Oryctolagus cuniculus: one gene and its partners. The protein of the gene in region 1 binds, or shares a complex with, the protein of each later gene. Links are inferred from orthologs where the notes say so. Each region holds a gene or a part of one and is shown in the gene's direction. Other genes may lie near its edges.

Region 1 (3,647 bases):
CTCTAAAGATGTTTTTTAAGCGCCAGATAGTCTGATTGAATCAGATAGATCTTAAATATTTATATAAGCATTTTTTGTTTTTGGTTCCTGAAAGCCACGTTCCTTGACTGAAGTATAAATTTCAACATTTTTCTTTTAAAATATTCATAAAAAAAGATTAATCTCAAAGTTATACTACCACTAAAAAACCAGACATCTTCATTTACTTTATTCAGAGATGCATTATGTTTCTTTACCTCAATCTAGGTGAGATTCTGATTACATTTATCTTTATTTTTTATGTGCCTTGAATTTCTCAAGCCAGTCTATATTGTTGTTTTTAGTTACATATTTAATTAATAATATTATTTACTAAATAGTGATGTTTATTAGAGTCATCTTGGGTAGACATTTAGCAGTGTGTTCTTAAGTCAAGCCATCAAAGAACTAAAGATAAAACTAGTTAACTGCTTCTACAAGCCATAACTAAAGCACCAACATTACATTTAGTTGTAATTGGTAAACTTACAGAATACAAACTTTGTCACAAAAGAATATATGAAATCTAGTTTGATTTAAATCGTGATTTTTTCCCCCAGAAACCTTTTATTTAAGGTATATAACTTCATGCATTTCATAAATACAACTTTAGGAACATAGATATTCTTCCCTTCGTACCTGCCCTTCCACCCTTCTTCCTACTCCCTCTCCTATTCCCATTCTTATTTTTTACTAAAATCTATTTTCATTTAACTTTATACACAGAAGATTAACTCTGTACTAAGTAAAATGTTCAACAAATAGTATTAAAAAAAAAACTGTTACTCAACAGTTTTTTGATTTCTCTTTGGATTTTTTTCTATGACCCACTGTTCATTCAGGAGCATGTTTTTCAATTTGCATGTGATCTAGAGATTCTTAAGTTCTTGATTTCCAACTTCATTCCATTGTGGTCAGAGAAGATGGCATAGTATGATTTTGAATTTGCTAAGACTTGCTTTATGGCTTATCATGTGGTCCATCCTAGAGAAAGTTCCGTGCACTGGTGAGAAGAATGTGTATTCTGCAACTGTAGGATGAAAAGTTCTGAAAATATCTGTTAGATCCACGTGGTCTATAGTTTTGATTAACTATTTCCTTGCTGATTTTCTGTCTGAATGATCTTTCCATTTTTAAAGTGGGGTATTGAAGTCCCCCATTACTATTGTATTGGAGTTTTTTTTTTTTCTCCCTTTAGATCCTTAACATTTCTTTTAAATAGCCAGGTGCCCTGTAATTAGATTTGTATACATTTATTGTCACATCTTCCTGTTGAGTTGAACCCTTAATCATTGCATAGTGCCCTCTTTGTCTCTTTTGACAGTTTTTGTGTTAAAAACTGTTTTGTCTGATACCAGGATGGCTATACGAGCTCTTTTTTGGTTTCTGTTAACGTAGAATATCGTCTATGCTTTCACTTTCAGCCTGCATTTATCTTTGTTGGTGAGATATGTTTCTTGTAGACAACAAGTAGATGAGTTTTATTTTTTAATCTATTCAGCCAGTCTGTATCTTTTATCTGGAGATTGAGGCCATTTACATTCAAGGTGCCTATTGGCCCTGATGTTTTCCATAAATATTCCTATTGCTTACTTTTTATTTCCTTTGTTCTCGTGCTGGGAGATTTTCTTTCATAGTGATGACTGTGTTTCTGTGTGTAGCACATCTTAAGCATCTCTTGTAAGGCTAGATGAGTGGTGACAAATTCTTTGAATTTCTGTTTGTTATAGAAGGTCTTTTATTTCACCTTCATTCCTAAATGAGAGCTTTGCCAGGGTACAGTATTCTGGGTTGACAGTTTTTTTTTCTCTTTAGACTTGGAATATATCTCACCATTCTCTCCTAGCCTGCAGGGTTTCTGATGAGAAGTCGGCTGTGAGTATAATTGGAGATCCTCTGAAAGTAATCTGGAGTTTCTCTCGTGTTCATTTTTTTACTGTGGAGAGTTTGAGTACAATGTGTCATGGTGAGGATCTTTTCTGGTCATATCTATTAGGAGTTCTATGTGCTTCTTGTACTTGGAGGCCCCTTTCTCCAAATTTGGGAAGTTTTTCTGTAATTATTTCACTAAAAAGGCCTTGTAATCCGTTCTCTTTCCTCACCTTCAGGAACTCCTGTGTCCTGTATGTTTTGTGGTTTGATAGTATTCCATGAATCTCCAACACTGTTTTTTAATTTTCTTATTTCTTCTTTTTTTTTTTTGGTCTAAAATCTCCAGAGATTTGTCTTCTAACTTGGATATTCTTTCTGCTGCCTTACCGAGTCTGTTGTTAAGGCTTTCCACCACATTTTTTATTTGATCTATTGAATTCATCATTTCCAATATTTCATTTTCATTTCTCTTTAAATTCTCAATTTCATGGGAAAATTTTTTTATTTGTGTCATGTATATATTACTTTAATTCGTGGATTTGCTTCTGATTACTTCTGAGTAATCCTATAATCTATAATTTAAATTCCATTTCCAGCATTTCTTCAGTCTCTTCATTTTCACATTGTATTTTTGAAGTGTTGGTGTGTTTCTTTGAAGGCGTCATGTGAGAGAAGAAAACAAGTGGTAGAACAATCTTAGATTAATTGTATGGTTAAGAATTACTAAAATGAGAAAATATTCAAATGCTCTTTGAATTCTCATTTTACTCATTAGATTTTGGTAGATACAGTGTGGGCCCTCTCTTACCTTACTGATGCTGGCAATGAACAGATACAGATGGTAATAGACTCTGGAATAGTTCCTCATTTGGTTCCTCTGCTCAGCCATCAGGAAGTTAAAGTTCAGGTAAGTTTGTTCGTGATAAAAAATTTTAAGTTTTTCTAATAATAATTGCTGTAAACATGACATTCAGAGCCAAACAATTTCAATAGTTTAAAGGATATTCTTAGCATGACAGCATGTCTGTGATGGTAAGAGTAAATTATTTTATTCCCATTTTAAAGGTGGAAAAAAATGAGGTAAGGATACTACAGCTTGAACCTACCTTTCCCCACCCTCTCTGAAAAATACATATTTAGGAAGAGACTCCTTTGTAGAATACAGATTTGTATTATAGGCAATTCAGTTTAGCAGCTTGAGTGCAATCAAACAGGTGTTGATACTTAGAATTCCTACTCCTTTTCTTATTTTTCTTCCTCTTCCACAGTCCAATTCCCCCCACCCCCCATTCCGCCCTGTCCCTTTTTACTGATCTGGAAAGTTTGGTTCGCTCTTAGCTTCACTGGCACTTATAAAGACTTTGTGCAAAAAGGTTTTGTGCAGATAAATGCTACTTAGCTCCCTAAATTGTTTTCACCATCTTAAACTTTTTTAAGCTTGTTTTTTTATTTTATTCAATTGTTCTTAAATCCTCTTACACAGTATTTATCTGAAAGAACCTATATGTAGTGTCAAAAGAGAGGATGAGAAGTTCACACAAATAGAAGTAATAACTGTCAAACTGCAATGGTAAAGGGATATGCAGCATGTTCTCTAATTTTCTGAGGTAAATAGAATGTTTTATGTGGCAATGACTTAGAGTCTGTAAAGTATAGTAATAGCATAAGAAAAACTTAACCTAAGTCATCACTTAGCCTTGGCTGGATAACGAGAACAACTGTAAAACTTTAAAAAGAAAGTTTTTTTTTTTTAATTG
Region 2 (3,647 bases), on another chromosome or scaffold:
GAGTTGGTGCTGCAGGTGGTGGCACTGGGCAGCAGCCAGCCGCGGAGCTGGTGGAATGTGCCTTTCCCGTCCGTAGGACAGGCGAAGGGTCTTTGTGTCTGACTGCTCGTGTGTGCACGCGTGTGCTCCGTGCATCCGTGCACGTGTGCCTGGCCCCACGCTCACTGCACGTCTTCTTTTCAGTGTAGAGAACTCGACCAACAGTGCCGACTGCTCCAGCAACAAATTTGTGTTTGGCCAGAACATGAGCGAACGTGTCTTGGTGAGTGGCCGCACTTGGAGGCCGGGAGGCTTTTAGCCGCAGGCCCAGGTTGAGGGGTGCGCGGGGCGGCCACCACGCCCCTGGGAGGTGACGGTGCTGTCGGTTGTTGGAGATTCAGCCTAAAGGTAGGGCAGCGCTGTGTTGCTGAGCCGGGCTGGTGGTCAGGGTTCTGCATCCTCCCGAGAGGCCAGCCGAGGTGCTCGTCCTCGGCCGTGTGCTGCTGGGCCACCGGAGTCCAGGGGACAGGACCTGGGTGCTCCCTGCCCAAGTCTAGGAACGCAGCTGCCAGCACCAGCGACGACTGCCGGCCCACAGCCCACCCAACCCAGGAGAGGGTTCTGGGTGCGGCCTGCTCCCTGTGTCCCTGTCCCTTCCCCGGGCGAGCGCACAGCCCCGCAGTGCACATGGGATTGCGCCGAGGCTGCGTCCCTGGCCCTCCGAGTGTTCCCGTCGTCGTCTGGGTTCACGTGGAGCGCGTGCGCCTCCTGCTTCTCTCCCACAGCAGCGCGCTCTCTCCTTTTTTTTATTTTCTCTGAGGTTTTTGTTTGTTTGAAAGAGTTACAGAGAGAGAGAGACATTTTCCATCCTCTGGTTCACTTCCCAAAAGATTGAAAGGACCAGGGCTGAACAGGCCAAAGCCAGGAGCGAGGAGCTTCCTCCAGGCCTCCCACGTGGGTGCAGGGCCCATCACCTGGGCCGTCTCCCACTGCTTTCCCAGGCCATTACAAGGAGCTGGATCAGAAGTGGAGCAGCCGGGACTCGAACCCGCACTTAACCCGCTGCACCACACCACCAGCTCCGCTCGTTCTCCTCTTTCTGTCACGAGGACGTGTTCAGGGAGTTGCCTCACGCAGGCCGCCACACAGGTGGCTCCAGATGACAAGGCCCAGCAGAGCCAGGAGGGGGCGTGTTTGGGGCTCCAAGCGCACTGCGGCGTGCTCCCCTGGAACGTGGAGGAGCCCTGTAGGGATGGGGCTCGTGAGGCACAGGGACCAGGCGGACGGCTGCTGAGGGCCGCTGCCGCGGGCCGGGGCCAGGCGTTGGCACCAGTAGCACACAGCATGCCCTCCCCCGCCTGCTTTGCTTCCCCGCAGAGTCCCCCAAAACTCAGCGAGGGCAGCTCCGAGGCCAGCAGGGAGCACGCTGCTGCCGACTCTGGGTCCGAGCCCTCGTCCCAGGAGGCCACCCCCGAGAAAGGTGCGTGGGGGCCCTGGCTGCCCACGGGGGTCGGGTTGGTGTGGGCTGATGTGTGACCGGGGCACAGGGCTCTGGGGCTCAGCACAGACAGGAGCTGTCCCTTCAGTGCCAGGGAGGGCTGTGCAGCAGCCAGCACCCTCCTCCTGCCTGTCCCTCGGGAGAGTCTCCCGCTGTCCTCTCCCAGCGGGGACCTGGAGACACAGCGCCGCCCTGCAGAGGCTCCGGCTGGGTGGCGGGGGTGTGGGGGCCTGTCCAGACAGCTCGTCCGGCGTCCTCCAGGCCAGAGCCAGCCTCCTGGCCCCTGCGTGGCCTGCCCTCACGAATAAGGAGTGGCTCTTGTTTAGTCGGTAACGTTTCAGAGTCCCTGGCCGAGTCAGCGGCGGCCTACACCAAGGCCACGGCGCGCAAGTGTTTGTTGGAAAAAGTGGAAGTCATCACCGGGGAGGAGGCGGAGAGCAACGTGCTACAGGTGAGGGCTGCGCGGGCCGGCCCCTGGCCCCCGGCCGTGGCCCGGGACGGGAGCTGTGTTCTGAGGCCTGCTCGAGGCAGGGCGGGGATAACACTGCCATAGGAACAGGACCAGCACTTCCGCTTGCCCCAGCATTCACAGCTGTCCCCGGGAAGGGTCCTGCCGCCCGCCCCCATCTCCCCTCTGCATGCACATGTCTGTGTTTTAAAGTATCCATTTCTGTGGAAGGTTGTATTCTGGAAATTCGTGTGTGTGTGTGTGTGTGTGACAGAGAGCTCCCACCCACTGGTTACTCCCCAAATGCCCACACGGCCAGGGCTGGGCCAGGCCTGGTCTCCCACGTGGGTGCAGGGGCCCATCCCCTCTGCCCCGCAGGGTACACCCAGCAGGAAGTCAGCTCAGAAGCAGAGACTTGGCCCGCCGTGCACGCCTTCCGCCCCATCCGCCCCATCCGCCCCATCCGCCCCAGTGCAGTGGGTCCCACTGTGCTCACGGATTGTGTGGCCCTCGGCACATTCTCGTCACCCAGAAGCCCCACCGGTCCCCGTAGCAGTCACTCCTCAGCCCCTGCTCACCACAAACCCTCCTGTCGGTGCCTGGCCCTACTGTGACGTTCCTCCAGTGGAGCCCCGCACCGTCTCCCCCGAGACGTCCTCCGGGGTCTGCCACGCGGACGGACCACTGCCGCTTTGCCCTCAGCAGCCGGTGCCTGCCTCGTGTGTGCTGTCTGCTGTTTCGAATGCTGTGGCTGTGCCCGTGGCGTCTGCCTCTTCTGCGGAAGTGCTTTTCGTGTCTGTGGGGTGGGCTTTCTGAGCCGGGCGGTGACTCCCTGTCCCCCTGCTGCGCCCCGTGGCCCCCAGCCCTTCCTCCCTCAGTGTCCGGTGGCTGTGATGTGGTTTTGCTGTGATTGTACTTTGTGTCTCTTTCGTGGCTGTCGTTTACCATGGCAGGATAGAGATACCAGCCCAGAGCAAGGGGCTGCCCCTGGTGGTGCAGGTGGCTTAGGAGGAGAGACGCCGGGCCCCTCCTCAGCAGGGCCCCACCGGGGCCCCCGCTCACCCCGAGGGCCCCCGTGTGTGTTGCAGATCCAGTGTAAGCTGTTTGTCTTCGACAAGACCTCGCAGTCGTGGGTGGAGAGAGGCCGGGGACTGCTCAGGCTCAACGACATGGCGTCGGCTGATGACGGGACGCTCCAGTCCCGACTGGGTGAGCTGCGGCGGCTGGGCTGCTCCCGCCTCCTGGAGGTGGGCAGCAGGGTTGGGGGGGCTTGGGGGAGGCGTGCTGCCCCCGCCCTTCCAGGACTCTCCGTGCCGAGGGAAGTCTGTCAACTTGGAAGCTCACTTTGCTGAGACGAGTGGCAGCTCCGCGGTGGAAGGAAGAGGCGGCAGTCCCTGGTCCAGGGCGGCCCCTTCACAGGAGACCTCGCTCGCGCGGGGGGGGGGTCCTTTCACTGAGGCCAGAGAGCAACTGTGCGTCCCACTGTGTGTCTCACGCTGGCTGGCCGTGAGCCTGGCCTCGTGCCCTAAGGTTTTCCTTTACAGTGAGGGCTGTTTTTCAAGAGCTTCTGCCCGAGTACTGCGCTGCAGCTGGTGCACGCACCCTCCTCCCTGTGCGGGCGTTGAGGCCGGTCCCGGTGCCTTCGTTACCGCTGTGGGGCACGCTTCTGGGGCCGTGGGAGCCGCGGGAAGCCTGGCAAAGCGAGCCTTGCGGCACCCGGCA
Region 3 (2,588 bases), on another chromosome or scaffold:
AGGCGCGGGGCAGCCTGGGCCCTGGGCTGGGCAGGCCGCGCGTCTCCCGTGGGCCGCCCCAGGAGTGGCTCAGGGCCGCCTTCCTCACCCTCACACCTCAGGCGCCCCCAACACTGCCGAGCTCAAGATCTGCCGGGTGAACCGCAACTCGGGGAGCTGCCTGGGCGGGGACGAGATCTTCCTGCTGTGCGACAAGGTGCAGAAAGGTACACAGGAGGCAGGCAGGGCCGGCCTCGCCGGGCGGGGAGGGGCAGGGCTGCAGCCAGTGGACCGCGGTGCGCTGGGCCCCGGACAGCTGACCCCCACCCCTCCCCCGTCTCGCAGAGGACATCGAGGTGTACTTCACGGGACCGGGCTGGGAGGCCCGAGGCTCCTTTTCACAAGCGGACGTGCACCGACAAGTGGCCATCGTGTTCCGGACCCCGCCCTACGCGGACCCCGGCCTGCAGGCGCCCGTGCGCGTCTCCATGCAGCTGCGGAGGCCCTCGGACCGCGAGCTCAGCGAGCCCATGGAGTTCCAGTACCTGCCCGACACAGGTACACAGCTGCGGTGGGAGCAGGCCCGTCCAGCGAGGCCGGAAAACCTAGGGGCCGAGCTCGGGGTCTGCGTAGAGCAGTCTCGGGGCTGGACGGCGTGTGCGTGGTGAGGGCGCGGCTGCGTCAGCTGACGTCCTGCTGCGAGGGGCCGCGTGACAGGAGTCAGAGTCCCCAAGTCTCCCTGAGCCCGAGGAGCAGCCGGCACGCATCGCAGCACTGCCCTCATCCTCGTCTGGCAGAGCTCCTGGGGAGGAGGCAGCATCGCGCCGGCCGCAGCTGCAGGGCCGGCCAGCGGCAGCCGGCACCGTGCTACCCGGCCGCCGTGTGCTCTGGTCTCCGGTGCCGCCTGAGCCCGGGGCCTGAGCCCCCTGTGTGGACAGAGATGAGTGCGCCGCGTGCCCTGCCCTGTCACGTGAGGAAGACACATGTGGACGAGGTCCTGGCGTCACAGGGCGACACGCGAGGCGGAGGTGGCAGCTGGAGCCCTCCAGCGGGCGCGAGGTGGCGTTCACCGTGGAGAGGGGCGCAGCTGTGCCGTCTGCAGGCAGGGCGAGGGCAGGTGCACAGCCTGGCGGGCAGCTGTGTAGTGGGAGCCGCTGGCAGGCAGGGAGCAGGCCCAGGCGGGAGGGTCTCGCTAGGCTGCAGGCCTTTGTCCGGGCTTCTGTCGTATGGCAGTGGGGAGCCACGTGCAGGGGTGAAGGGGAGACTCGGGCGGGGTGGCCTTTGGAAGAAGGTGCCGGAGTCCAGGGAGAGGCTCAGCCCCTTGCGGGAGGAACGGCTAGGCCAGGCCGCGGCACCTGCCGGTCCGCTCGGCGCGCTTTGCCAGGTCCCCTAAATCAGACCCCCCACCCAGCTTCCGGGGCGGTGGCCACGCTTCCTTGACCCTCGGCGTTCCGGGCCGGAAGCTTGGGGTCTGTCTGCGTTCCCGTCGCTGTGTCACCTCTTGGCAAGCAGGCCCCGGTGTGCTCACTCAGGCCCCCGTGTGCTCACTCAGGCCCCGTGTGCTCACTCAGGCCCCCGTGTGCTCACTCAGGCCCCCGTGTGCTCACTCAGGCCCTGGGCCAGAGGGGCCTGGCACAGACGGCTCGGGTGCCCGGAGGGCACCGCGGGGGCGGGGAGTGGGAGCGAGGCTGGGTCCCGGCTTCAGCTGCAGTGCAGTGGGCGCGCAGGAGGCGCGGGCTGTGGGGCACCTGCTTTGCCTTCATTTACTTGAAAGGCAGAGAGCGATGGCCGGCACCATGGCTCACTAGGCTAATCCTCCGCCTGCGGCGCCGGCACACCGGGTTCTAGTCCCGGTCGGGGCGCCGGATTCTGTCCTGGTTGCCCCTCTTCCAGGCCAGCTCTCTGCTGTGGCCAGGGAGTGCAGTGGAGGATGGCCCAGGTGCTTGGGCCCTGCACCCCATGGGAGACCAGGAGAAGCACCTGGCTCCTGCCATCGGATCCGTGTGGTGCGCCGGCCGCGGCGGCCATTGGAGGGTGAACCAATGGCAAAGGAAGACCTTTCTCTCTGTCTCTCTCACTGTCCACTCTGCCTGTCAAAAAAAAAAAAAAAAAAACACATTTAGAAAGGCAGAGAGCGAGTGATCTTCCGGCACCGGGATCCAGGCTTTGAGGAAGATGAGGCTGGCTCCGGCCGGTCTGTGGGATCAGAGACCCGAGAGCTGCGGAAGAAGCAGGGAGGGCCACAGCGGTTCTCGGGCAGGGCGGAGGCGGGGCCGGGCCGGGCAGCAGCCGAGTGGGAAGGAGAGCTGCCCGTGGCTTCAGGGGGCCGCATGGGCTCTTGAGGGAGGCTCCTGCTGGGGGGCCTGGGGGGCGGGTCTCCGGGAGGCCTGGCCCCTCCCCCACCCAGGGGAGGGGACCCACTTCTCGTTCTCCCAGACGACCGGCACCGCATCGAGGAGAAACGCAAGAGGACCTACGAGACCTTCAAGAGCATCATGAAGAAGAGCCCTTTCAGCGGTGAGGCGGCGGGCGGAGGGGCAGCTGGGGCAGCCGGGGGGGGCGGGGGGCCTGGCGCTGACCGCGTCGCCCTGCAGGACCCACCGACGGGC

What was found.
Region 2: the proteins of KPNA4 (region 1) and RANBP3 are in contact, whole or in part, in a crystal structure (PDB 5XZX), measured with the Homo sapiens proteins. The link is inferred for Oryctolagus cuniculus from reciprocal best matches to the Homo sapiens genes KPNA4 and RANBP3. Residues at the interface, in NP_002259.1 of Homo sapiens: Arg96, Leu99, Ser100, Asp102, Arg103, Pro105, Phe133, Trp137, Thr140, Asn141, Ala143, Ser144, Gly145, Thr146, Ser147, Thr150, Glu175, Gln176, Trp179, Gly182, Asn183, Gly186, Asp187, Asn219, Trp222, Val225, Asn226, Arg229, Asp261, Trp264; in NP_015561.1 of Homo sapiens: Asn114, Tyr115, Cys116, Pro117, Pro118, Val119, Lys120, Arg121, Glu122, Arg123, Thr124, Ser125, Leu127.
Region 3: the proteins of KPNA4 (region 1) and RELA are in contact, whole or in part, in a crystal structure (PDB 7LF4), measured with the Homo sapiens proteins. The link is inferred for Oryctolagus cuniculus from reciprocal best matches to the Homo sapiens genes KPNA4 and RELA. Residues at the interface, in NP_002259.1 of Homo sapiens: Lys231, Asp271, Arg306, Asn310, Val312, Thr313, Gly314, Thr315, Asp316, Thr319, Lys344, Glu345, Trp348, Ser351, Asn352, Ala355, Glu387, Trp390; in NP_068810.3 of Homo sapiens: Lys301, Arg302, Lys303, Arg304, Thr305, Tyr306, Glu307, Phe309.

The regions. Positions count from the first base shown.
Region 1 is NC_091435.1:120,225,772-120,229,418, forward strand, and holds part of KPNA4 (importin subunit alpha-3), read left to right. Parts: intron 1-2,665; coding exon 2,666-2,797; intron 2,798-3,647. UniProt on the Homo sapiens protein: Functions in nuclear protein import as an adapter protein for nuclear receptor KPNB1. Binds specifically and directly to substrates containing either a simple or bipartite NLS motif.
Region 2 is NC_091447.1:60,411,376-60,415,022, reverse strand, and holds part of RANBP3 (ran-binding protein 3), read left to right. Parts: intron 1-183; coding exon 184-262; intron 263-1,356; coding exon 1,357-1,459; intron 1,460-1,803; coding exon 1,804-1,928; intron 1,929-3,013; coding exon 3,014-3,134; intron 3,135-3,647. UniProt on the Homo sapiens protein: Acts as a cofactor for XPO1/CRM1-mediated nuclear export, perhaps as export complex scaffolding protein. Bound to XPO1/CRM1, stabilizes the XPO1/CRM1-cargo interaction. In the absence of Ran-bound GTP prevents binding of XPO1/CRM1 to the nuclear pore complex.
Region 3 is NC_091432.1:6,042,558-6,045,145, forward strand, and holds part of RELA (transcription factor p65), read left to right. Parts: intron 1-101; coding exon 102-206; intron 207-324; coding exon 325-537; intron 538-2,415; coding exon 2,416-2,496; intron 2,497-2,588. UniProt on the Homo sapiens protein: NF-kappa-B is a pleiotropic transcription factor present in almost all cell types and is the endpoint of a series of signal transduction events that are initiated by a vast array of stimuli related to many biological processes such as inflammation, immunity, differentiation, cell growth, tumorigenesis and apoptosis.